Xenopus tropicalis: one gene and its partner. The protein of the gene in region 1 interacts with the protein of each later gene in a pairwise test. Links are inferred from orthologs where the notes say so. Each region holds a gene or a part of one and is shown in the gene's direction. Other genes may lie near its edges. The genes, in order: brap and numa1.

Evidence for each region.
Region 2: the proteins of brap (region 1) and numa1 interact in a two-hybrid assay, tested with the Homo sapiens proteins (2 studies listed by BioGRID and IntAct). The link is inferred for Xenopus tropicalis from reciprocal best matches to the Homo sapiens genes BRAP and NUMA1.

Annotation. Positions count from the first base shown.
Region 1 is NC_030677.2:163,066,509-163,078,036, forward strand, and holds the end of brap (BRCA1-associated protein), read left to right. Parts: intron 1-189; coding exon 190-299; intron 300-899; coding exon 900-989; intron 990-2,017; coding exon 2,018-2,121; intron 2,122-4,961; coding exon 4,962-5,310; 3' UTR 5,311-6,816; downstream 6,817-11,528. UniProt on the Homo sapiens protein: Negatively regulates MAP kinase activation by limiting the formation of Raf/MEK complexes probably by inactivation of the KSR1 scaffold protein.
Region 2 is NC_030678.2:178,860,859-178,872,386, forward strand, and holds part of numa1 (nuclear mitotic apparatus protein 1), read left to right. Parts: intron 1-603; coding exon 604-686; intron 687-1,081; coding exon 1,082-1,170; intron 1,171-2,017; coding exon 2,018-2,098; intron 2,099-2,244; coding exon 2,245-2,335; intron 2,336-2,517; coding exon 2,518-2,650; intron 2,651-4,294; coding exon 4,295-4,452; intron 4,453-4,689; coding exon 4,690-4,804; intron 4,805-5,164; coding exon 5,165-5,282; intron 5,283-5,370; coding exon 5,371-5,511; intron 5,512-7,129; coding exon 7,130-7,252; intron 7,253-7,336; coding exon 7,337-11,050; intron 11,051-11,528. UniProt on the Homo sapiens protein: Microtubule (MT)-binding protein that plays a role in the formation and maintenance of the spindle poles and the alignement and the segregation of chromosomes during mitotic cell division.

The DNA of each region.
Region 1 (11,528 bases):
CAAACAAACACTCCTAATTTCAATATATGAGATGATTGTACAAAGGTCTGCTGGAGACAATACCCCTTGGGCTCTCTTAGGGCTGGAAAAGGCAGCACTACATGGAATTTTGCTATTATGTTATTTTATCTGTCTTCAACCTATGTATGGTTCTAGTTGCAAAAAAAAATTATATGCTTTTAACTCCAGATAATTATGTCCATCGATTGGTTGCAAGCAAAACAGATGGCAAAATTGTTCAGTATGAATGTGAAGGAGACACCTGCCAGGATGAAAAGATTGATTCTCTACAGCTAGAAGTAAGAAACTTGAACTAACTCAGAATAGTTTTCTTTTGTTTTTTGGCCTTATCGCTAATTAAGTACATTGTTGACATTTTGGTTAATAGACTTTTATCAAGATAAGTCAAAGTGCTATAACCACTCGCTTTTTAAAAATCGCAGCGACTAATCTCTCCATCTGTCCATAATTTGGATCTCCATACACAGGGACATAAGATGCATATTCGTGGGATGCTGTGGGGGGGGGGGGTTGGGTGGGGACAATGTAGGATTCTGGCCTGTAGGTGCCCTTGGGAGGAATCCAGCCCTGAGCATTCCAGATAATAAAGCCAATATTATTATTTTTTTTTTTTTTTTTGCTAACCAACCCTTTTATTGAATCCCTTGCTAGTGGTCTCCATAGGAATCAGTAGGTTGCAAATGTTACTGAACAGTCATGTTTTATTTTACTAACTTTAAAACACAGGAACAAAGAAAACAGTGTGGTAAGTGCAAAAGTTTGGACACCCTTCCACTTGTTCAGTGTGTATATATTATTGCCCTCTAGCATAACTAAAAAGATAATAGATTCATAAAACCCTCTGTCTTATTCAATATTGTGTTTCTGTATTGCTTTAGTACTCGTACCTTCTCACCAGTCAGCTGGAATCACAACGTATTTACTGGGAGAACAAAATTGTGCGCCTGGAAAAAGATACAGCAGAAGAGGTTAGAGACATGCTTAAATTTGTCCCTTGTGGTATGTGCATGTTGACTTTCCAAACCCAAAATAATTGTGGTAATTTGCAAATTAGGTTAAAAAAGAAAAAAGTAAGGCATCCCCAGTAAATTCAGTTCCTAAGTATCTGGTGCTCTTTTTTTTTTTTTTTTTGGAAAATATGAACAAACCTGGGGTACTTTCTTTAGCAGCATAGCACCACTTCTTTCTCTTTTAGGCATCCATCCAAAGACTTACACTTAAGGTGGCCATACACCTACGGGTGGGTGATATTGGGCAAATCCAGGCTAATTTGGTCGTTTGGTCCGGGGGCCAAGCGATCGAATTAGAATGACGGGTATAGGCGAAGTCGGACCTCGATCAGACAGGATAAAAAATTTAGTCTGATCGGGGACCACATCGGCTCATTGATGCTGTCCCCGATCCAACTACAATTTTTAATGAATTTCAGGCCAGATATCAGTCAGGCAGGCCCGTCGTTAGTGCCCCTACATGGGCCAATTAGCTGCCGAATCGGTCTAAGGGACCGATATCAGCAGTTAGAATCGGCCCATCTATGGCCACCTTTAGGCTGTGCATTAAATGAGACTGATTCCATTTTACAGGTGCAAGTCTTCACAAAGAACCTGAGAAAGTGAAGAAAGTTTGCTGCGCTGATAGTTCCCCGAGTTGGTGCATGTTTTCCAAAAACAGCAGTGGCCAGGGAAAAAACTTACCAACTGAATTCACTGGGGGTTACACATGCCAGGCACTCTCCAATGAATTTGGGCTTAATTGCCTTTTAAGAGACCTCCTACATTGCTATTATAGAGCAAAGATGATTTTTTAAACACAGGATAAAATTTGGCATCATTGTATAGTTAACACCCACTTTCAAGAGACACACTGCTGCAACACATTGGATTTTAAGCTTCCTACTGCTGCTTTTATAGACAAGTGCCATTCTTGCCATTATGATAAGGTCAAACACAACATAGTGGCCTGTATGAATTCACCCAACATTCGTTTCTGATTATAGATTAATAACATGAAGGCAAAGTTTAAGGAGACCATAGATAAGTGTGACAGCCTGGAGCATAGACTTAATGACCTGAGCAAAGAGAAACAAGCTGTGGAAAGAAGGTAAGGGTTTAGTGTGGTTAGTATTTGACTGAATTTTATTATAGCAGTCTACACCTTTGTTTTTCTCTTGATGGTGTAAAGTGCTGTTTCTGATCAGTTCCCAGCTGCAGACCAATTTTTGACTGTATCTGAATTCAAGCCTTAAAGTAACAGTTCAGTGTAAAAATGAAACTGGGCAAAACAGACTGCGCAAAATAAAAAATATTTCTAATATAGTTGCTTAGGCAAAAATGGAATCTATAAAGGCTGGAATGAGCAGATGTCACATAACATAATGGCCAGAGCACTTCCTGCTTTCATTTCTCTAACCTCTTAGTTAAACTTTTCATCAGACCACCAAAAGGAAGTATAGAGGCCCAAACCAACAGCAATAAAAAAGGGTCCATATACATGGATCGCCTCTTGCAAGATACCCATCCATTTGGCCCTTGATCTGATTAATGGGGTACTATACACATTGTGTTGTGTATGGCCATTTTTTTTAAAATAATTTTTTTATATTTTTAAACAAATACTGCAGGGTTCTAGTTAATTATTTTGGTGTCCAAAACAAAATATTGTTTGCCTAAATTATGCACAGAGACATAAAGCACCACATTGGGTTAAAGAGGACCTGTCACCCTAAAAAATAATTTCAAATTCTTTTCTATCATGTTAGTTGAGCAAAATAAACTTCACTTACACCATATAAACAATTTAATGTTTTTTTCTGTTTAGTCTTGGAACTTTCAGTCACAGTCAGCAGGCAGGCACCATTTTGTGTACACAAGCTTTGTATCACCCCAAAATCTTATGCATTTGCCATCTAGGTGATATCTAGGAAGTTCCGAATGGAAAGATAAAGTAATTGTAATTAAAAATCTGAGCTGTCAATCGTATATGGCCTGCCCCCCACCTCTATGCCCCAGGCTGTTGTGTATCCACAGGGGCAGCCATTTAAGCTGGAAAAAGGAGAAAAGACACAGGTTACATAGCAGGTAACAGATAAACTCTGTAGAATACAATAGTGTTTTATCTTTTATCTGCTAAGTAACTTGTGCCTTTTCTCCTTTGAATGGCTGCCCCCTTGGCTAAACAGCACCAGTGCAGGGCAACAGTACATTATATTGGAATTACTTTAATGTTCCTTTAGGGCTCTGGTACATGAGGAGATTTGTCGCTGGCGATTTTTAAAAGAGCGATTTGGCGACAAGACGAGCGACAAGATGCCAATGCTAAACCAATGGAAATCGCCAGCGTCAAAACATACGAGGCTACTTCAAATCGCCTGCTGTTTCAAATCACACACAGACCCTTTTCTGAGTGACTTGAGTAAACATATGGGGGGGTTAACTGTTGAGTGGTACCATGGGTAGCAGATCGCCTGGAGCTCAACTCGCATGAAATCTCTTCGTGTGTATTGTCGTGGCGACTTGTCGCCAAAGCGCCTGGGGGAAAAAACGCAGGCGACAAATTTCCTCGTGTGCCAAAGCCCTTAATGACAGAGCCTCCTGGCTTGTCCATTATGTGTGAACTGCTTTAATCACCTAGTTGCAGAGTTGTAAAGAGTTAACAGCATCAGGGTAATTCAAATGAAAAAAGAAAATGGGCTTTCTAGGAGTTTGAGTGTTAAAGTATTTTTTTAGCAGCATTTAATAATAATAATAATAATAATAATAAATTGTGCATGTGGCCCCTGTAATACACCCCTGGGCAAGAAACGCTTTTAAAGAAGAAATGTACGTTTTGTGATAAGTAGACATAGATGAATGCCAAGACAGGATATAGTTAAGTCAGTAGCAGCCACTTTATAGAAAGTAGGAAAAACCCTCCAAGAATGTTATCATTGTATCTTCTTTTCTTAAAGTTTCCATTAGACAAATGCAAAGGGGAAAAGAACTGTGTCATTTTCAGTGTCATGTTAGCTGTTCATGGACAGACGTGGCCCCTTTAAAAGGTGTTGTGGCGCATCAGTAGAGAAGGTTGCAGTTTAAGCTTGGTTACTCCATCTACAGTACTTTTTCTTCTGTGGAGAATGATGGGGTTTGCACTTCGAATGTGGAATATTAAGCCTTGGAAAACAGCCTATTTATGTAGTTTGTTCGAAGGCAGGCATATATCTCCTTTCAAAGAGAGCCTGATTCTTCTTATTTTTGAAGCCAACAAAGAGCTTGACAAGGGAAAAATAAACTCAAAGGTGAAAGTATAATTTGGGCACAGTGACTCTCCAGATATGTTGAGCATGCCATTTCCTGGAGTACAAACCAAGCTGTGTTTATCACATGATTCTAAGGGGTATATTTATCATTGTGTAAAAATAGTGGAGTGAAGCATTACCAGTGATATTGCCCAGGGCAGCCAATCAGCAATTAGATTTTAACAGTTAGAAAGCCAAAGCAAAGCATCTGATTGGCTGCTATGAGCAACATCACCGGTAAGGGCTCTGGCACACAGGGAGATTAGTCGCCCGCGACAAATCTCCCTTGTCACGGGCGACTAATCTCCCCAAACTACCATCCCTCTGGCGAAAATGTAAGTCGCCGGTGGGATGGCACACGCTGAGCAGGTGATTTCGGCAAATCGCGGAAGTTGCCTCGCGAGGCATTTTCGGCGATTTGCCAAAATAGCCTGCGCAGCATGTGCCATCCCATCGGCGACTTACATTTTTGCCGGTGGGATGGTAGTTTGGGGAGATTAGTCGCCCGTGACAAGGGAGATTTGTCGCGGGCGACTAATCTCCCTGTGTGCCAGAGCCCTAATGCTTTACTCCACTTTTTACACAGCAGGATAAATATACCCCTAAGTGTTTGCTGCAAGTCAAGGAATAATCTAATCAGGTGTTTTTTCTATTTTATTGGAAGGTGTGCCCAGTTGAACAGTAAAGTGGCCAAGCTCTCCACTGAGCTGAAAGAAGAGCAAGAAATGAACAAGTGCCTTAGGGCCAATCAAACCATGCTGCAATCCAGGCTTCGAGAAGAGGAAATAATGCGCAAGGAAACCTGCGAGCAGAAGGACGTGCAGCTCTTAGAAATGCAGGAGCAACTGAGAGATGTAATGTTTTACTTGGAAACACAGCAAAAAATAAACCATATGCCTGCAGACACTCGACAGGAGATACAGGATGGCCAGATCAACATAGCATCCCCCAGTTCTCCTGCTGCTTCCGGAAAGCTCTCATCTCGGAAGGGGCGTGGAAAAAGGGGCAAATAAGTTGTCTTTTATCCCTTTGTTATGTATCGTCTTAAGGGTTCTTCTGTCACAGTTTTGACTTTAAAATATTTTCCTGAGACAGAATTTAGGCTGTTCAGGTAGGAATTCTTCCATTTTCTGCTGGAGATTTAAGAGCTTCTGGCATTATTTATTTCAGCTATCAAGCACTAGTAGGTACAATATGGTTTATTTTCAGACCTCTTCCATGATTTGTTTGTGAACTTGTTCAGAAACAATTTAGCCGTACAACTGTCAGTAAAACCAGTACAAAAAGACTTGAAAAGCAAGAGGCCAAATATATAACTTTCTGCTGTTGAGCTTAGCCAGATATGGTCTGTTTTATGAATATTTGTGTGGAAAGATCTAAACTAGCTTATTGCTTACTTACTAGTGGCTATTGTTATGGTGAATAATATACCTACAGAGTAACTAAAGCACTGGGAGATTTTGGCACCATATTAGCCTACCATATGTTTGGAGCTTAGGTACCTTTGGGATTGTTGTTCAGATTCCTAAATATATTGCCATTTCTGCATAGAGCTGTGTATGTGCTGGTGTATGAATGTAAGTATACATCAGTTGTACACATAAATATGGCAACAACTTCTTTCTGGACTGTAGCTGCCATTGAAGCATCACTGAAGCCTATTTATATTGTCTAGTCAAAGACACAAATTCACTATGCACATGACATCCCAGCTGCCTTTACTGGAGTAATCCACCCTGCACAGTCCCTATTTCTTCTTTCCAAAACTGGAACCAGCTATCACTGTGTAGCAAACAAGCACAACTGCAACATGGCATACCAAAAAGTTTCAATAAGTAAATGCAAGCAGAAAGTTAGTGTGACAAGTAGTTATAGAGTCCTCCATTATTTATGTTTGCTGTAACACTATATTAGGGGGTAAGTCTGTTCCAACTGATCCCTGTTCAGCTTTGCTACTATGCTTGCTTGTTTGCTATATCACATGTCTTGGCTAATCCTTATGGTGTTTTATACAGCTATAATAAGGGACTGTACCATGTATAATGGCTTCATTATCCTATTTATTTATTTGATTTAAAAGTTTTGTTGGGTTATAAAACCCTTTTAATGTATGGCATTTCTTCAGCTATTAAAGGACCAGTAATACCAAAAAAGTTAAAAAGATTTCTATAAATTCAGGTATTATCTTTTGCATATTTATTACCTGCAAATATCATTTTTTTGCATTGCTCTTTTAGTAGTTATGTTTTCTCCCTTTAGAGTAATGACACATTTTGACACTCTTGCAGGTGGCAAACTGCTGGAAAAAAGGGTATTTTACAGTATTTTGCCAATCGTGTACTAGAGAGCTTAAGAGCAGCAAAACACCAAGTGCCGAAACCCTAAGTTGTAATTAAATACTAAAAGTTATTGCACTGTAATCAGAAAATAACTTATAGGATACTGTATGTATCTCTAAAAAAATTTTTCATTATCCATAAAAAACCTTACCACTTATGGTGCTATCTGCTATCAAACAATCATTCTGAGCAGTTGACATCTGATCTCATTGGACATTCATGACTGAAAATTCTTATGGCTGGTTACCTGTCTGACATTTGTAAGGGCTCTGGCACACGGGGAGATAAAACTCCCTGTTCGCGGGCGACTAATCTCCCCGGATTGCCATCCCACCGGCGAAAATGTAAGTTGCCTCGCGAGGCATTTTCGGCGATTTCCCGAAATCGCCTGCGCAGCGTGTGCTATCCCACCGCCGACTTACATTTTAGCCGGTGGGATGGCAACTCGGGGAAATTGTGGCAAATGACCTCTTAGGGCTCTGGCACACAGGGAGATTAGTCGCCCGCGACAAATCTCCCTGTTCGCGGGCGACTAATCTCCCTGTGTGCCAGAGCCCTAAGAGGTCATTTGCCACAATTTTTCCACAAGTAGAAAAAAAGTGCATTACTTTTAAAGGAACAGCTGGAAGCTCTTTCAGTTTGTATATTACTGGCCCTTTAAATTATTAGAACAACATTTATATATGGTTCCATTTACTGAACTTAAATGGTGTATTCTACACAAATATTATTGTGTTACAAAGCTCCTATGGTGTCAGTGTAGTGTTTCTGTTCTCGAGACTAGCATACTAGTTACTGCTGTCTAATGTTTTCCATGAATCTCTTACTGTTGGTTGCCCAAGATATGGTAGGCAGGCTTATAAGGGTATTGAAATGATGAATATATTATGTTAGTCAAATAGCTAGCAGTGTTCAATTGTGCAAGTTTCTATGCTGGCAGCTTTTCTGGCACAGTATACAAAGCAGCTATTGTGCAATTTATAAAGCTGGGCACGCACAGTGAGATGGTCAGCTGATTATCTTGTTTATAACCCACTTGGAACAGTTAACTCCAATCATAGGCCCTCAGCAGACCATTTTTAGCAAATCATTTCAGCTCTGAGTCAATGTGAGATCTCTGGCTAAAGTAGCTATAACTTCCTCACACATCCCCAGATAAGAGATTATTTGGCCTTATGGTCATAATCTCTCCATTTTAACTATAGACTAAACAACTTGCCCATCATCCAGCATTTGGGTGGCTAATTAGCTGGAAAGAATCAAGGCTGGGTGTCTAATGCAGCTAGGCTGGAATTTAGGAAGAACTGGGGAATTGTGGGAGACGCTTGGAGGTTGTTCCTTTCTCTGTTACCTAGCTCTGTTGACTTGTTAGTAAATGTACGGCATAACTGGTCTGCTGGGGCCACATGTTGGTAAGAGGTTGTTTTTGTATTGTTTGTTTGGTTTGACTCCAGACACACACATTACCAACTAGACCACTAAATACACAATTTTACTTCCGTACAAGTTGTAGTTGGCAAATTCTCTGTTTGCTTTTAGGTAAATAAAAAACAACGCTGATATTGTAATGTAATGTATACAAAGTATGTGAGTGTGAAAACATGTTTCTCTGTTTTCACTAAACATTTCTTTATGTAAGTTAATGTACAAAGCATGCATTACAACTTAAGATCTTTCTTATACCCAGTTCACTTCACTGTTCTTGAAAAGAACCACAGTAAAGGCAACCTTAACATCAATGCATATCTGTCTTGTCTTCTTTTTTTTTTTTTTAATTTTGGCAGTAGTGAGAACTGTTGTCCTCATATGCCCTCTGAGTGTTGCATGACTTGCTGTAGACCTTAAGATTTCCCATCAACCACTTAACAGCAATATAGCGGCCAGGCTGTCTTTGAAATCTGCCAACTTAACCACCCTGGAGTAAACGAGGATTAATCACCAAGAAACATTTTATATATTTATTTAATATTTTCTGATCCTTCTGTTCTTTAATTTAGATAATCTGAAAACATTTATTTTTGGTGGGTCGGCATAAACAGTATGAAATCCAGGCCTGTGAGGCAAGGTACTTTACAGACAAAAACCATGTAACCGTATACAGTGGAGGAAATAATTATTTGACCCCTCACTGATTTTGTAAGTTTGTCCAATGACAAAGAAATGAAAAGTATCATTTCAATGGTAGGTTTATTTTAACAGTGGCAGATAGCACATCAAAAGGAAAATCGAAAAAATAACTTTAAATAAAAGATAGCAACTGATTTGCATTTCATTGAGTGAAATAAGTTTTTGAACCCCTACCAACCATTAAGAGTTCTGGCTCCCACAGAGTGGTTAGACACTTCTACTCAATTAGTCAACCTCATTAAGGACACCTGTCTTAACTAGTCACCTGTATAAAAGACACCTGTCCACAGAATCAATCAATCAAGCAGACTCCAAACTCTCCAACATGGGAAAGACCAAAGAGCTGTCCAAGGATGTCAGAGACAAAATTGTAGACCTGCACAAGGCTGGAATGGGCTACAAAACCATTAGCAAGAAGTTGGGAGAGAAGGTGACAACTGTTGGTGCGATTGTTCGAAAATGGAAGGAGCACAAAATGACCATCAATCGACCTCGCTCTGGGTCTCCACGCAAGATCTCACCTCGTGGGGTGTCAATGATTCTGAGAAAGGTGAAAAAGCATCCTAGAACTACACGGGAGGAGTTTTTATTTAAAGTTATTTTTTCGATTTTCCTTTTGATGTGCTATCTGCCACTGTTAAAATAAACCTACCATTGAAATGATACTGTTCTGAGACTTTTCATTTCTTTGTCATTGGACAAACTTACAAAATCAGTGAGGGGTCAAATAATTATTTCCTCCACTGTATATATAACAATGATAGAAAAACCAGCAGCAAGTATAGCGTTCTTTACCATCATTAAAGAGAAAATATACCCCCTTTTTGACATGAGCCCTGAAATTCAGTTTTGTCTTATGCAGAAAAGGTGTGTAAACACTATCTTTTGACTTCCAGAAATAAATGGAAATATGTTTTACACCAGGCATTCTCAAACTACCGCCCGCGGACCGGATACGGCCCCTCAAGGTAATTTACCTGGCCCCCACTATGATCTGACGTGAGGATGCAGGGGGGAGACGGAGGAAGCAGGAAGAAGCAGTGGGGAGTGGCCATAGTATAAGGACACAGGGGGAGAACTTTAGTCTGGCCCCTCAACAGTCTGAGGGACCATGAACTGGCCCCCTGCTTAAAAAGTTTGAGGACCCCTGTTTTACACAAACATGCCTTATTCCACAACTTAAAAGAAACCATAATAACTCCAATAAGATCTCTTATGCTAAGAGATCCCCATCCCCTCCCCAAATTTGTTTGAGGATTTGAAGTATCTCTACTTCTCATAGTTAGTAATTCATAGATTCTTTGCCAAGCAGAGGGTCTTCCCAGAATCCATCACTTAAAGGAACAGTAACACCAAAAAATGAAAGTGTATAAAAGTAACTAAAATATAATGTGCTGCTGCCCTGCACTGGTAAAAGTTGTGTGTTTACTTCAGAAAGTCTACTATAGTTTATATAAATAAGCTGCTGTGTAGCCATGGAGGCAGCCATTCAAAGGAGAAAAGGCACAGGCACATAGCAGATAACAGATAAAACACTATTGTATTCTACAGAACTTGTCTGTTATCTGCTATGTAACCTGTGCCTTTTTTCCAGCTTGAATGGCTGCCCCCATGGCTGCACAGCAGCTTATTATATAAATTACAGTAGTGTTACTGTAACAAACACACCAGTTTTACCAGTGCAGGGCAACAGTGCATTATATTTTTATTACTTTAAAGCTCTTTAATTTTTTGGTGTTACTGTTCCTTTAACAAAGCAACAAGATAAGGGTGGGGTTGCATTACAGTAAAGCTGGCCATAAACATTCATATGAAACAAATTTTCAGACCGTGTATGGGCTGAGAATTATTGTCTCGATAATTTTTGTACCATGGCAAATGGTGGTTTAGTCAGACAGATCATTTCAGTCAGATAATCATAATATCTGTGCATGTATTGTGTATCTGACATTATCCTTGGGTGACCTACAATGTATTTCCAGAACATAACTTCAGTACGACTGTTGTCTGGCAGTTATTTTATTTTTATATCTAGAAGTTCAGATAGTGTTTGTGCACCTTTTGGGGAGGTGACAGAAGGGGAGATTAGTCTCCCCGCAATGCCATCCCACCGGAAAGAATGTAAGTCGCTGGTGGGATGGCATACGCGTCCCTGCGATTTCCGAAAGTCGCCCGAAGTTTCCTCCCAAGGCCTGTGGCAACGAAGATTTGTCGCAGGGCAACTAATCCCCCCATCTGTCACCTCCCTTAAGCCCGACTGAATGTCAAAAAAATGGGATATATTTTCCCTTGAAAATAATACAAACAGAACTGTGCAATACCGTATCCTAGCGTATAGGTGTATAGGTGTCTACCTTTCCATGCCACTTGCAGTATTTCACATCTCCCACCAGGTGTACAATTATTTAAACAATGTTTTTTGTTCCCTTTGCTTATATGGGTACATATTATAATTGGGAATAATTGTCCACAAACTAAATATTATCAACTTATAAAAGGTAAATTTAATTGAATTTGAATTGTGTAAAAAGATCTTTATCACATTAAAAACACATTATACTTTTACTTTTAATTGAATATGCCAAATCTATTTTTTGGTGCTTAAAAGAGAAAAACAAAATTGTAAAATGTGCCCACAGCACTTCTCTGTGCTTATTAGTTTGACTGCAGGTATCCAAGGAATGGCCAAAGAATTGACTACCTGTTTCAGAATAGCTAATTTTCTGTTCTTCCTTGTAAGCGCTAGTGCTAAGGTGTATCATGCA
Region 2 (11,528 bases), on another chromosome or scaffold:
CTTTAATCATATTATACCTCCCACATACACCCTCTGTGTAATTCCCTTCCCTGTAGGAGAGGCAGGGGTATCATTATCTCTCTATTATCTCCCCAATCCTGATGCAGTTGGACCTCTCTTCCAGGGTATGGGCTTTGGCAGTTGCCCCCTCACTAATTCTGATACATTTTTGTCCCCTGTGTCAGTGGTGGGACTCCCATGTGGCACCCATTCCCAATGCCTCTGAACCCCAGGTGCCCATATGTACCTGCCCTACAGTTCCCTCTCATTCCCAGCATCCCCTACAGTACTAGTACAGCCCTGGGGCAGAGCATGGAAGACATGTTGCTATGAGGCTTCCTGGGTGATTCAGGACTATATTTTTATTATTTCCATCTTCCTGTCTTTCCAAAATAAGCCGAGCCCCCCCATATTTGCTCAATACAGTGCTTAACCCCAATCAGCCATAAAACCCACCCGTTTCCCTGTAAGCCCAGGTTCTGTTGGACCCACAGCTGCCAGAGTGAGAGCTCATATTAGTTACTATTAGACCCCTGTGGTGCCGCGTTGGGGGGGGGCGGGTACCGCTCAGACTGTATGTGATGGGCTGTTCCTGTCTCTCAGATCAGGGAACTCCGAGGAAACGGCCCTTGTCCTACAGCAGATCCCGGAGGAGCGGCTGAACTTCCTCTGTGCCTTCTTACAAAGTAAGATCCCCTGGGGGGGCATGAAGGGTAAGGGACGGCTGATGTGCGTGTTGTTTGGGGGTCACACCTGGAGAGAATTCCCCCCCCCCCCCAGTACTGATATTAGTAGTTCTGTTCCTGATACTCACTGCTGCACTGATAGTGTGTAATGTACAATCACTTGCCCCTTCCCTTAGCCAATCAGAATGTTTGTGCATAATGTGCCCTTCAGCCTTACTGTCCCTTTAGGGCCCTGGCATTTGCGGCCATTCTGAGGGGTTTTATTCTCTGTGTTTAATAGCTTCCTGCTTCCCCCCCCCCCATGGAGCTGCTACTCAACAAGCATTGTGGGGCTTCTGCGCTTCTCTGGCCTGTGTGTGTCCTGAGTAAATCTCACTCATTCTCTCTTTCTGTAGGGTATTGCCGGCCGGGCTCCTCAGCTGAAAACTTGGTGCAATGGCAGAAGATTCTGCAGGGGGAGAACCTGGAAGTGGAACTTTCCAAGGTACTTTCCGGCTGCACAATTGCCCTCTCTCTCACATGCCCATTCTCCCTGCCATCCATCCCACTCCGACTCTTCTGCTGATTTATAGCTCTGTCCCCTTTCCCACTGGGAGCATAGGCAACCTTAGGCCTTATGGTGCCCATACACGTGAAGAGGTCGCCAAGCGAGTGAATCTTCACCTGATATCCCCACTTACGGGTGGGCGATATTGGGGAACATGTAGGCTAATTCGATCGAATTATAATGGCGGCAATGGGGCAGTCGCTTCGGGGACCGCATCAACGAGCCGACGCGGTCCCCGATCCGACTAAATCTTTTAACCTGCCCGATCAATATCTGCCCAATTTCAGGCCAGATATCGGTCGTGCATGTCCCTCGCTTCTGCCCCTACACGGGCCTATAAGCTGCCGAATCGGTCTAAGGGACCCATATCGGCAGCTACAATTGGCCCGTGTATGGCCACCTTTAGCAGCTGCCAGTGGGTGCTGCCTTTCTCTGCCCATAAGATTTGCACTTACACGAAAGGCCTGTGAGTGGCTTATATTTGTACTCCCTGCACAGCAGCATTGGCTCCCCTACCATTTTTCCCAACATGCCACTTTCTTTATGAGATGGCTGGAATCTCTTATTGGGTAAAAGGGATCTGCAGCTGATACAGAAAAGTATCTGTAGAATTGTCTCTCTGCAGCAGAGAGAATGAAATACCACAGTAAAGCAATAGGCAAGTATGGGTGAAACACATGGCGCTACTAGTAGCAGCTACTAAGTATCTCTGTGTCTTCACCCTAATGGACTCACTACTAGAAGTTAAACTGTTCTAACTGCACCCCTTCGTTATATCTCACAGGCAATCGTCCTTCTCTTCTATTACTCAACTATGAGCTCCAAAAACCCGAAGAAATCTGAGGATTTTGATCATAAAACTCAGGTGAGGAAGCCTCCTGCTGCTATGTTGGTTCATAGTAATTGGACCAGTAACTTTGATTGGCTGAGCGCTTTCCTGCCATTTTGTGACCCAATGAAGGTGCATTATCTAAGATTTCACTCTCTCATTATGAATTTCTGCACTTGCAGACAGAGCTGGCCTCCATCTTGCGCTTTGTACTGGATAATGAAGATGCTCTCTGTCTGGACGACAAACTTATCAACTTCCTGCAGCGGAAAGGTGAGGCAGAATTGTGTGCTGGGCGCGTGTTTTAGGGACATTTTTGCTTTGCTAAATGTAAATAATTATGTGGTGTGCGAGCAGGCTGCATGTTTGTGCCCTTGGCATATATTGGTGTATATTCAGTAACACCTCCCCTGCATTGTGCCTCACTCTTGCTTATGAGACCTCTTCTCTTCCAGCGCGTTTTCCCTCCTTGGGAGATGATACGTCCAGTTGCTCCGACGCCGCGTCTCCTAATGTGTCCCACAGGCGGAAGAGCGAAGTGCGCTTTCTGGAGCTGCATCGTGTTGCTTCCTCATCTACTATGAAAAGGTAAATATCCTGCTGCTTTATAGCAAACTCTTGGGCAGACTGGTATTTTGCTTAGGTGCAGGAGAAACAAAAAAGCGGATCCTACATGAACTTTCCAGAAGGTGTTACTCTATAATAACCGGTCATTCCCCTGCTGGAAAGTTCATGTAGGAGCCGCTGATATCAGTCAGTAAATAGATCCCAATACAAACAGCTGATGTGACTCTATAATAACCAGTCATTCCCCTGCTGGAAAGTTCATGTAGGAGCCGCTCATATCAGTCAGTAAATAGATCCCCATACAAACAGCTGATGTGACTCTATAATAACCAGTCATTCCCCTGCTGGAAAGTTCATGTAGGAGCCGCTGATATCATTCAGTAAATAGATCCCCATACAAACAGCTGATGTGACTCTATAATAACCAGTCATTCCCCTGCTGGAAAGTTCATGTAGGAGCCGCTCATATCAGTCAGTAAATAGATCCCAATACAAACAGCCGATGTGACTCTATAATAACCAGTCATTCCCCTGCTGGAAAGTTCATGTAGGAGCCGCTCATATCATTCAGTAAATAGATCCCAATACAAACAGCTGATGTGACTCTATAATAACCAGTCATTCCCCTGCTGGAAAGTTCATGTAGGAGCCGCTCATATCAGTCAGTAAATAGATCCCAATACAAACAGCTGATGTGACTCTATAATAACCAGTCATTCCCCTGCTGGAAAGTTCATGTATAATAAGCAGCTTATATAAATAGTTCCATTAATTTTTGTTAATGAGTCAGTTAATTGTTACATAAATGGTGTAAGTAAATTTTAACCCCAGTTACACAATGTGCATGGCTTTTTATATCCACCGGCCCCTTTCAGGCCAAAATCCGAGGACAACAGCCCCTCCCCTTTCTGCTGATTGTTGCCCTGCGCTTGAACTTGCAAGCCCATTATTCCTGTACCTTTGGGCTGTGCTCAGCTCTGACAGACAGGGGGAACTGCTTTCCCAGCACAACACTGCCCCCTGTGTGTCAGATCTTGGCACAGCCTATGTGTGAGGGCTTTGCAAAAAAAAAAGCATTTTCGTTTTTTTTTTTTTTTTTTGCAAAGGGTTTGTTCACCTCTAAACTAACTTAGTATGATGTAGACATTGATATTCTGAGAAAATTTGCAATTTGTTTTCATTACTTATTTTCTGTGGTTTCAAAGTTATTCGGCTTTTTCTTCAGCTCTCCAGTTTGGAATTTCTGGTTGCTAGGGTCTTGTTTACTTTAGCAACCAGGAAGTGTTTTGAATGAGAGACTGGAATATGATTAGGAGAGGACCCGAATGGGAAGATAAGAAATAAAAAGAAGTTAATAATATTCATTTTCTTGCTGCCTGGGTCAGTGACCCCCCTCCGTTTAAAAGCTGGAAAGATGTACAAGAGGGAGGCAAATAATTCACAAAACAATAAATAATAAAGACCAATTTCAATGTTGCTAGGGAATAGGACGTTCAATAACATAAAGTTAACTCAAGGGTCTTTAATTTGGAGTTGGTTTTACATGAGGAATCCAATTCTGCCGTCAGTTTAGATTTGATATTGTTTGATTGTGCCATGGTTCCTTCCTTACATCCCAGCTCTGACCTGAGGCCGTGTCTTGACTCTGTTTCTGGTGTTTCACAGTTTGTCAGCGGACCCCCCATCTTCCCCAATGATCGAGGTGCTGCACACCCCTCAGTTCCAGATGAGGCGCCTGAAGAAGCAACTGAGTGAAGTGCGGGACTGTAGAGATGAACTGGAGGTGGAACTGGCAGAGAACCGCAAACACCTGGCAGAGAAAGGTCAGTGCCTTTACCCAAACTCTCTGTATAAATAAGCTCCTTATCTGTAAGCCCGAGACACAGGCGCCAATCATGTATTTTGTATTTATACATTTGAAGTTGCTATGTTTTTTCCTTTAGTTACCACAGAGCTTGCAAAGCCCTTTAAGGAAACCAAATAGAACAGGATCCCTTTACAACTTCTCAGTAGAATCAATGACACAAAGTCACCCCCCTCTCTCATTCATTTCCTTACAGAGGCTCAGATCTCCCTCCTGCAGCAGCAGATTGAACACCTTCGGATCTTAAGGGAGAACCAGGCTGAGCTACAGGAACCCAAAGAGCTGGAGGAACTTCGGGAGAAGAATGAGAGGTGAGTAACCTACTGAGTGGCACCTCTACACCTCCCTGTGCCCCTTTATGTTCAGTATGTGTTTGTATGCACCTTCTCCCCTTTTCCAGACACACCCTGGGAGGTTAGTTAGCCCCCCAAAATGACACGTGTAAATATGACGGACCTTCGATTGTAAGCTCCACAGGGTAGGAATTAGTGTGAATATGAAACAGTCTGTTAAGTGCAGAACTATATAAATGAAGCCTTATAACAGAAATAACTCTCCCAACTCCATATATTTCCCAGTTGTCCCAGTGCAATCTTCCTTTATTTGAATCCCACTATGTGCAAACCACACACACACACACAAAGGCTGACCTGTGCACTTTTTCCCCGTAGCCTGATGATCAGACTTCGGGACACCCTCAAGCAGTGTCAGGATATGAAGACTGACAAGAAACAACTGGAACGCAAGAACGATCAATTGGCCGAGGAGAATGGCGAGCTCTCTTACAAGGTCTTGTAATCCTCCATGTCACATGACAAGTTTCACTTCCCCACATACATATACATATATATATCATCCCATATGTGTCTTTGTGCAGGTGCGAGACTTATCCAACCGCTTGGCACAACTGCAGGAGGCTCTCTATGAAACCACAGAGGAACACGAGCTTTCTCTGAGCAACTGGGAGCAGAAACAGAGCCAGTTAGAGAGTGAGCTGAGTGGTGCAGTCGGTGAAAAGGTAATGAATTAATGGCTTAATCAGATGTGTTGGGCTGCTTGGTTTAGCTTGACCTTCGGGGATGCTAACAAACGATCATAACACGTTGTTCATGTTCTGTGTGATGTGCTCCATTGGCCAGATAATGGACATGGCAGAAGGTTGCTGTGATAGGCAGCATGGTAGCCTTTGATAATTCATAATATGCCTTTTAAGGTGTAGCATTTATGAACCAATATTTATTGTGAGCTTAGTGTCCCTTTCAAAGTATTTCGGAAGGGTATTTTCTCCTTTATCGAGGTGATATAGGAACTGTAGGAATATAGCGTCCACCATCAGGATGCAGAAGACTAAAAATAACTGACTTCAACTTGTACTTGACCCCTCCCACAGGGGCTGTAACTCTGCCCCTTCTTGTGCTGTCCTCCGTGGGGCTGGGGAACACACAGGCTGCCTGTTTGACCAGTGGCTAAAAGTGGCAGCCAGGGGACTTATGGGTCCTTGTTGGTTAGACAGGACATCCATGTGGTGTGGATTCTTGGGGTTGTTCTCCTACTGGAAGGTCTACTGCAGTGATCCCCAACCAGTGTCTCGTGAGCAACATGTTGCTCACCAACCCCTTGGCTGTTGCTCTCAGTGCCCCCAGTTATTGTTGAATTCCTGACTTGGGGACAAGTTTTGGTTGAATAAAAACAAGATTTCCTACCAAATAAAGCCCCTGTAAGCTGATAGGGTGCATAGAGGCTGCCTAATAGCCAATCACAGCCCTTATTTGGCTCCTCCATGTACTTTTATGGTGCTTGTGTTGCTCTCCAAGTCTTTTTACATTTGACTGTGACTCACAAATAAGAAAGGTTGGGGATCCCTGGTCTACTGGGTCTCTGTGCTCCATCCCTCACTTGAAGCCGCCCTACTTGCCTCTACCTGTCCTCCTTCACTTTGGTAGACGGTTGACTAGTGCTGAGAGGGGCCCCAAGTTGGACAGCAGGCATACTATGCGACTCCCGCTGGCTCTGCCAATCTTTCCCTGCACACATGTCCCTGGGGTGGCTCAGCCCTTTTGAAAGATGGCACAGGCCAAATCCCATGCCCTTCCCAGATATGTCTCCCTTGGACCCTTCACTACTACCCTTTATTGTCATTACATGCTGCCTTCCCAAGCTTTCACCGTACACATTCCCGGGCTCTTGGTGCACTCCTACCTCCCTTTTGAGAACGCCCTCCTTTTTCCTTCTAATTCACCTAGATAAAATATGTTCTGTGAGGATCACAATAAAATAGTGAGTGAAGTTTACCACGTTATTTTCTGTACATAGGTTTTTCTTACAGAGTAGAGGCACCGTCACGCCATCCAGACTTTACAAATCAGAAAGAAAATATCACTCCGGAGAACTATGTCAATCAACCAGTTGTAGTTTTATTATATACACAACATGCTTCAGATCCTGATGAAGGATCACTGGTTCTGAAACACGATGTGCAGTATAAAATAAAACTGCGACTGGTTGGTTGACACGTTTCTCCGGAGTGATATTTTGTTTCTGATTTGTATGTTCTGCAAGGTCCTTTCCTCCGTTATATAAAAGTATACAAAGATTGTTCTGTGGATTTGGCGTTAATATCTGTTTTGTTATTGCAGAAGTATCTGGAAGAGCATCACTTAATACTGCAGGGAAAAATATCAATGCTTGAGGATCAGCTAAAGAAGATGGGGGAGAGAGAGGTGGAAGAAAAAGGAGATTGTATGGGTGACATCCTCAAGGTATGGATGGATGCATGGAGACTGTAAAGACTGTTAGTACCATACGTTTTTTACTGAGGTTTGTTTTTTTTTTTTCTCCTTTAGCTGGAAGACTTGAAGCAAGAGGTAACTGCGCTCAGCACCCAGTGCCTCAGTCTAACAGAACAGATCCATCAGTTGGAAGAGGAAAAGAGCACTACAGAAATTGACATGGAGGCACAGAGGTCCAGATTTGAATCTGAGAAAAGTCAGCTGCAGGAGATAGTCACTAACCTGCAGACTTCATTGTCAGAAATAACATTTCAGAAGGAGAGGCAAGATAACGAGGCCAGGGCACAACAGGAACATCTGACATGCCAGATTACAACATTAAAACTGGAGATCTCCAAGCTGAAGTCTTCCCTGGTGCATAAGGAGGAAGAGCTGAAGGGCATTCACCATCAAGTGGAAGAAGAGAAGAGAGAAAAAAATCAGCTCTTGGAAAACTTCAAAATACTGGAAGAATCCTCAAAGCAGAACATTCAGGAGCTTGTAAACCAAGTGGAGCAAATTAGTAGCTCTTTGAAGGTTTCCGAGGGCAATCTGGTTGGACTTACACAACAGCTAGAGAGCAAGGCGAAAGAAGTTGACTATTTAAGAGAAGAACAGCAGAAAGTTGCCTGTGAGAGAGATTCCACTCTTTCCACATTCAATGAGTACAAGTGCAAAAAGGATGAAGAGTTCAGTGTCTTAAACATGACCATGAAAACACTGGAACAAGATCATCAAGCTAGTCTTTCTGTTATAGAGGAGCTGAAAAGGGAAAAGGCAGAGCTGGCATCCAAGCTACAGGAACTGGATGCCACCATTCTAGATCTGCTTGCTAAATGCCAGAACTTGGATAGTGAAAATGCTTCACAGAGCAAATCTCATGCAGCCGCTGTGGAGTCTCTAAAGGCACAGCTTTCAGAGCAGGAGAGTCAACTGAAAATATATCAGAAGAAGGTGTCCTCCTGTGAATTGGTGTCCGAAGAAAACTCGCAACTTAAAGAACAGCTCCTGTCTATGGACGAAAGTCTGAGACATCTTAGGGAACATCTAGAGAAAGAGAAAATGAAATTTGCTGCTTCTCTTGATAGCGACGGTAAAAGAATTTCCCACCTTGAAGAGGAGATGAAGAAGTTGAGTGAAAGCAGAGATGCAGCACTGAGTAACCTTGCTGAAGAAAGGGCCGCTGGACAGAAGATTGAATCTCAGCTGAAGCACTTACAGGAGGAGTACCATACAGCAAATGAAACCCTGCAGGCAAAAATGGCAGAATCCAGCGCTGCTATCAAACAGCGTGAAGCAGAAAGGGACGAGTTGTCTAAGGTGGTTGACATCTGGAAGGCCAAATATGAAGAGTCTCAGCAGAAGATAGTGCAGAACTCCTGCCAGATGGAGGAACAAATTCAACATCTGAAGAAGGCTCATACTGATGTTTGCCAGCAACTGGAGGGAGAGAAGAGTAAAGTTTTGATGTTGGAAGCCAAGATAAAGGAAACAAACTCTTCTCAACTGGAGCAGATAAATCGGTTGGAGTGTGAACTGTCTGAAGCCTACTCTCGTATCAAAGAGAGAGAAGCTGAGGAAAAGAAGCTACTCTCTGCTCTCCACTCTTCAGAGGAGAAATTTCAGATTGCTCATCAAGGGGAAAGTGAGCGTCTTTCCCATCTGGAAACAGCCTTAAGCAATGCAAAGTCAGAACTGGATTGTCTAGTCAGAGAGGTGTCTGATGAGAAGCATAAGAAAGAAGAACTTGAAGCCTTGGTGAAAGAGTTAAAAGAGCAAAAATCTGAAAGAATTCAGTCCCTGGAATCTGAGGTGAAAACCAGTTTAGCTGCTGTTAAAGAGCGAGAAAGTGAAACTGCAAAGCTTTCTGAAGAGGTGAAGGATCTGAACAGGCAGCTAGAGGAGATCGGTCAGAAGCATAAGGAAGAGCTGGCTCAGAAAAATACTGAAATTGAGCAGTTGATTGAGGCCAAAGAAAAAGCTGCGTTGGACTTGGCTAGTAAAACAGAGATGGGGGCTCAGCTGCAGAAATTGTTGGATACGCACAAAGGTGAGCTCAGTGCCTTGCAGAATGAGCTTTCCCGTTCCCTTGATCTCATCTCTCAGAAGGAAAGTGAAGTAGAAAGACTTCATAAAGAGGCTGCCGTAACACAAGAGGAGATACGGAAGCAGCAACAGACTATGGGAAAGCTCACAGAAGAGCTAACTGCTTTGGTTGCACTTAAAGAACAGGCGGCCCTGCAGGAAAAAGAGATTGCACAGCATGTCCGGGCCACTAAGGGTGCTGAAGCAGAGATGGCTAACCTAAAAGCTATCATTTCTGAAAAAACTAAAAATATTGAATCCTTGGAACACGACATCAAGAACCAGAAGGGAGACCTTGCTTGCATTCAAGAGCAGTATCGGAGCAAGCAGGAGGAGGCCCGAGGTCTTCAGGGCCAAATAGTAGATCTGGAAAGAGAGTGCAAAGAGCAGAAGGAACTGATTTGTCAGGCCCAGAAACAGGCTGCTGAGGCAGAAACACTGGCCTCCGAAAAGGTTTCAACGTCGGAGAGACAGCTAGAAGGAATCCAAGCGCTCGAAGGTGAAATCCATAAAGAGAGGCAAAAGACGTGTGACCTGCTGAAGCAGCTGGAGGCTTCTCAGGCCGCGCAGGCAGATAAGGAAACTGAGCTACAAGCACTGAAGAAAGAGTTGTTTCATAAGGTTCAAGAACTGGAGCAAAGTCAGAAATCTTCTACTGAGTCAAGTCGAGAGCTCTCCTCTATGCTTTCTGCGGCTCAGGAGAGGCAGCGAGCCTTAACAGAGGCCAAACAACAAGCAGAACAGTACCAGAAGGAAATTGAAATGAAGAGTAAAGAGGTGGGCAGCCTGCATGCAGAAGTGAAGAGCTTGAGTTCTAAGGTGGAGGTGTCTGCGGAGTTTGAACAGCGGCTATTGAAGGAAACTAATAGAAGCACAAAGCTAGAAGAGAAGCTGAAAAAGCTCCATGGTGATGTAGAGGCCTCCTCTAAGGAGCTACTTGAAAAGAATCGCGCTATGGATAGTTTAAAGACGGAAGCCCAAACCTGCAGACAAGAAGCAGACAAGCAAAGAATGGCAGTTGAGGGCCTCCAGCAGTCGCTCTCCTCCCAGGCAGAAACAAACGATCGCTTGCAGCAGGAAATTCGCTCCTGGCAGGGAAACTGTGCTGAGAAGGAACAGCAAATCTCTTCTCTCCAACAGAATCTCAGCAGCAACCAAAGCCTCCTGGAGGAATTTGCATCCCTAAAACGCAGTTACCAGGAAATCATTGCAGAACGGGAAGTGATGCAAGAGAAGCACCAGGAGGAACTTCTGGGCCAGAAAAAGCTAACTGAGCGTTTCCAGGCAGAACTGCAAAAGACTAAGGAGGACATGGCCGAAATGGTTCTACTCAAGGAGAAAGTTCACAACCAAGAGCTTCGGTTACAGAAACTGCACTCCGAGAACGACGATCACTTGTCCCAAATAGCCCATCTTCAGCAGCTCAACAGCCGGCTCGTTGGGGAGAACCAAAGCTTGTCTCAAGCTTCTGACCAGGGTGCCAAGAAACTGGAGAGCGAGGTGTCCAACCTCAAGGAGCAGCACGAGGAACAGCTGAAGTCTCTCCGCCTGCAGCACGAGAAGACTCTGAGAGAAGGCAACGAGCGAGTACAAGATCTCAGCCAGAAACTGGAAACTGCAACCGGCAAATACGAGCACGTGAAAACGAGGGTTGTGGATGATTGGAAAGCGTTCCAGGAGGAAAAGCAGAGGCTCCTTCTTCAGGTACTGAGCATTAAGTACAGAAATAATAAGTCTTACCCACATATGTAATTACAGGCCTGCCTAAGTGCAGTAACCTATAGCAACCAATAAGATGCTTCCTTGTAAACAGGTGACCAGAACATGCTACCTGTTAATTGGGTGCTATGGGTTACTGCACATTAGCAAGCTTACCCACATATGTAATAACAGGCCTGCCTAAGTGCAGTAACCCATAGCAACCAATAAACAGGTGTCCAGAGCATGCTACCTGTTAATTGGGTGCTATGGGTTACTGCACATTAGCAAGCTTACCCCTATATGTAATAACAGGCCTGCCTAAGTGCAGTAACCCATAGCAACCAATAAACAGGTGTCCAGAGCATGCTACCTGTTAATTGGGTGCTATGGGTTACTGCACATTAGCAAGCTTACCCCTATATGTAATAACAGGCCTGCCTAAGTGCAGTAACCCATAGCAACCAATAAACAGGTGACTAGA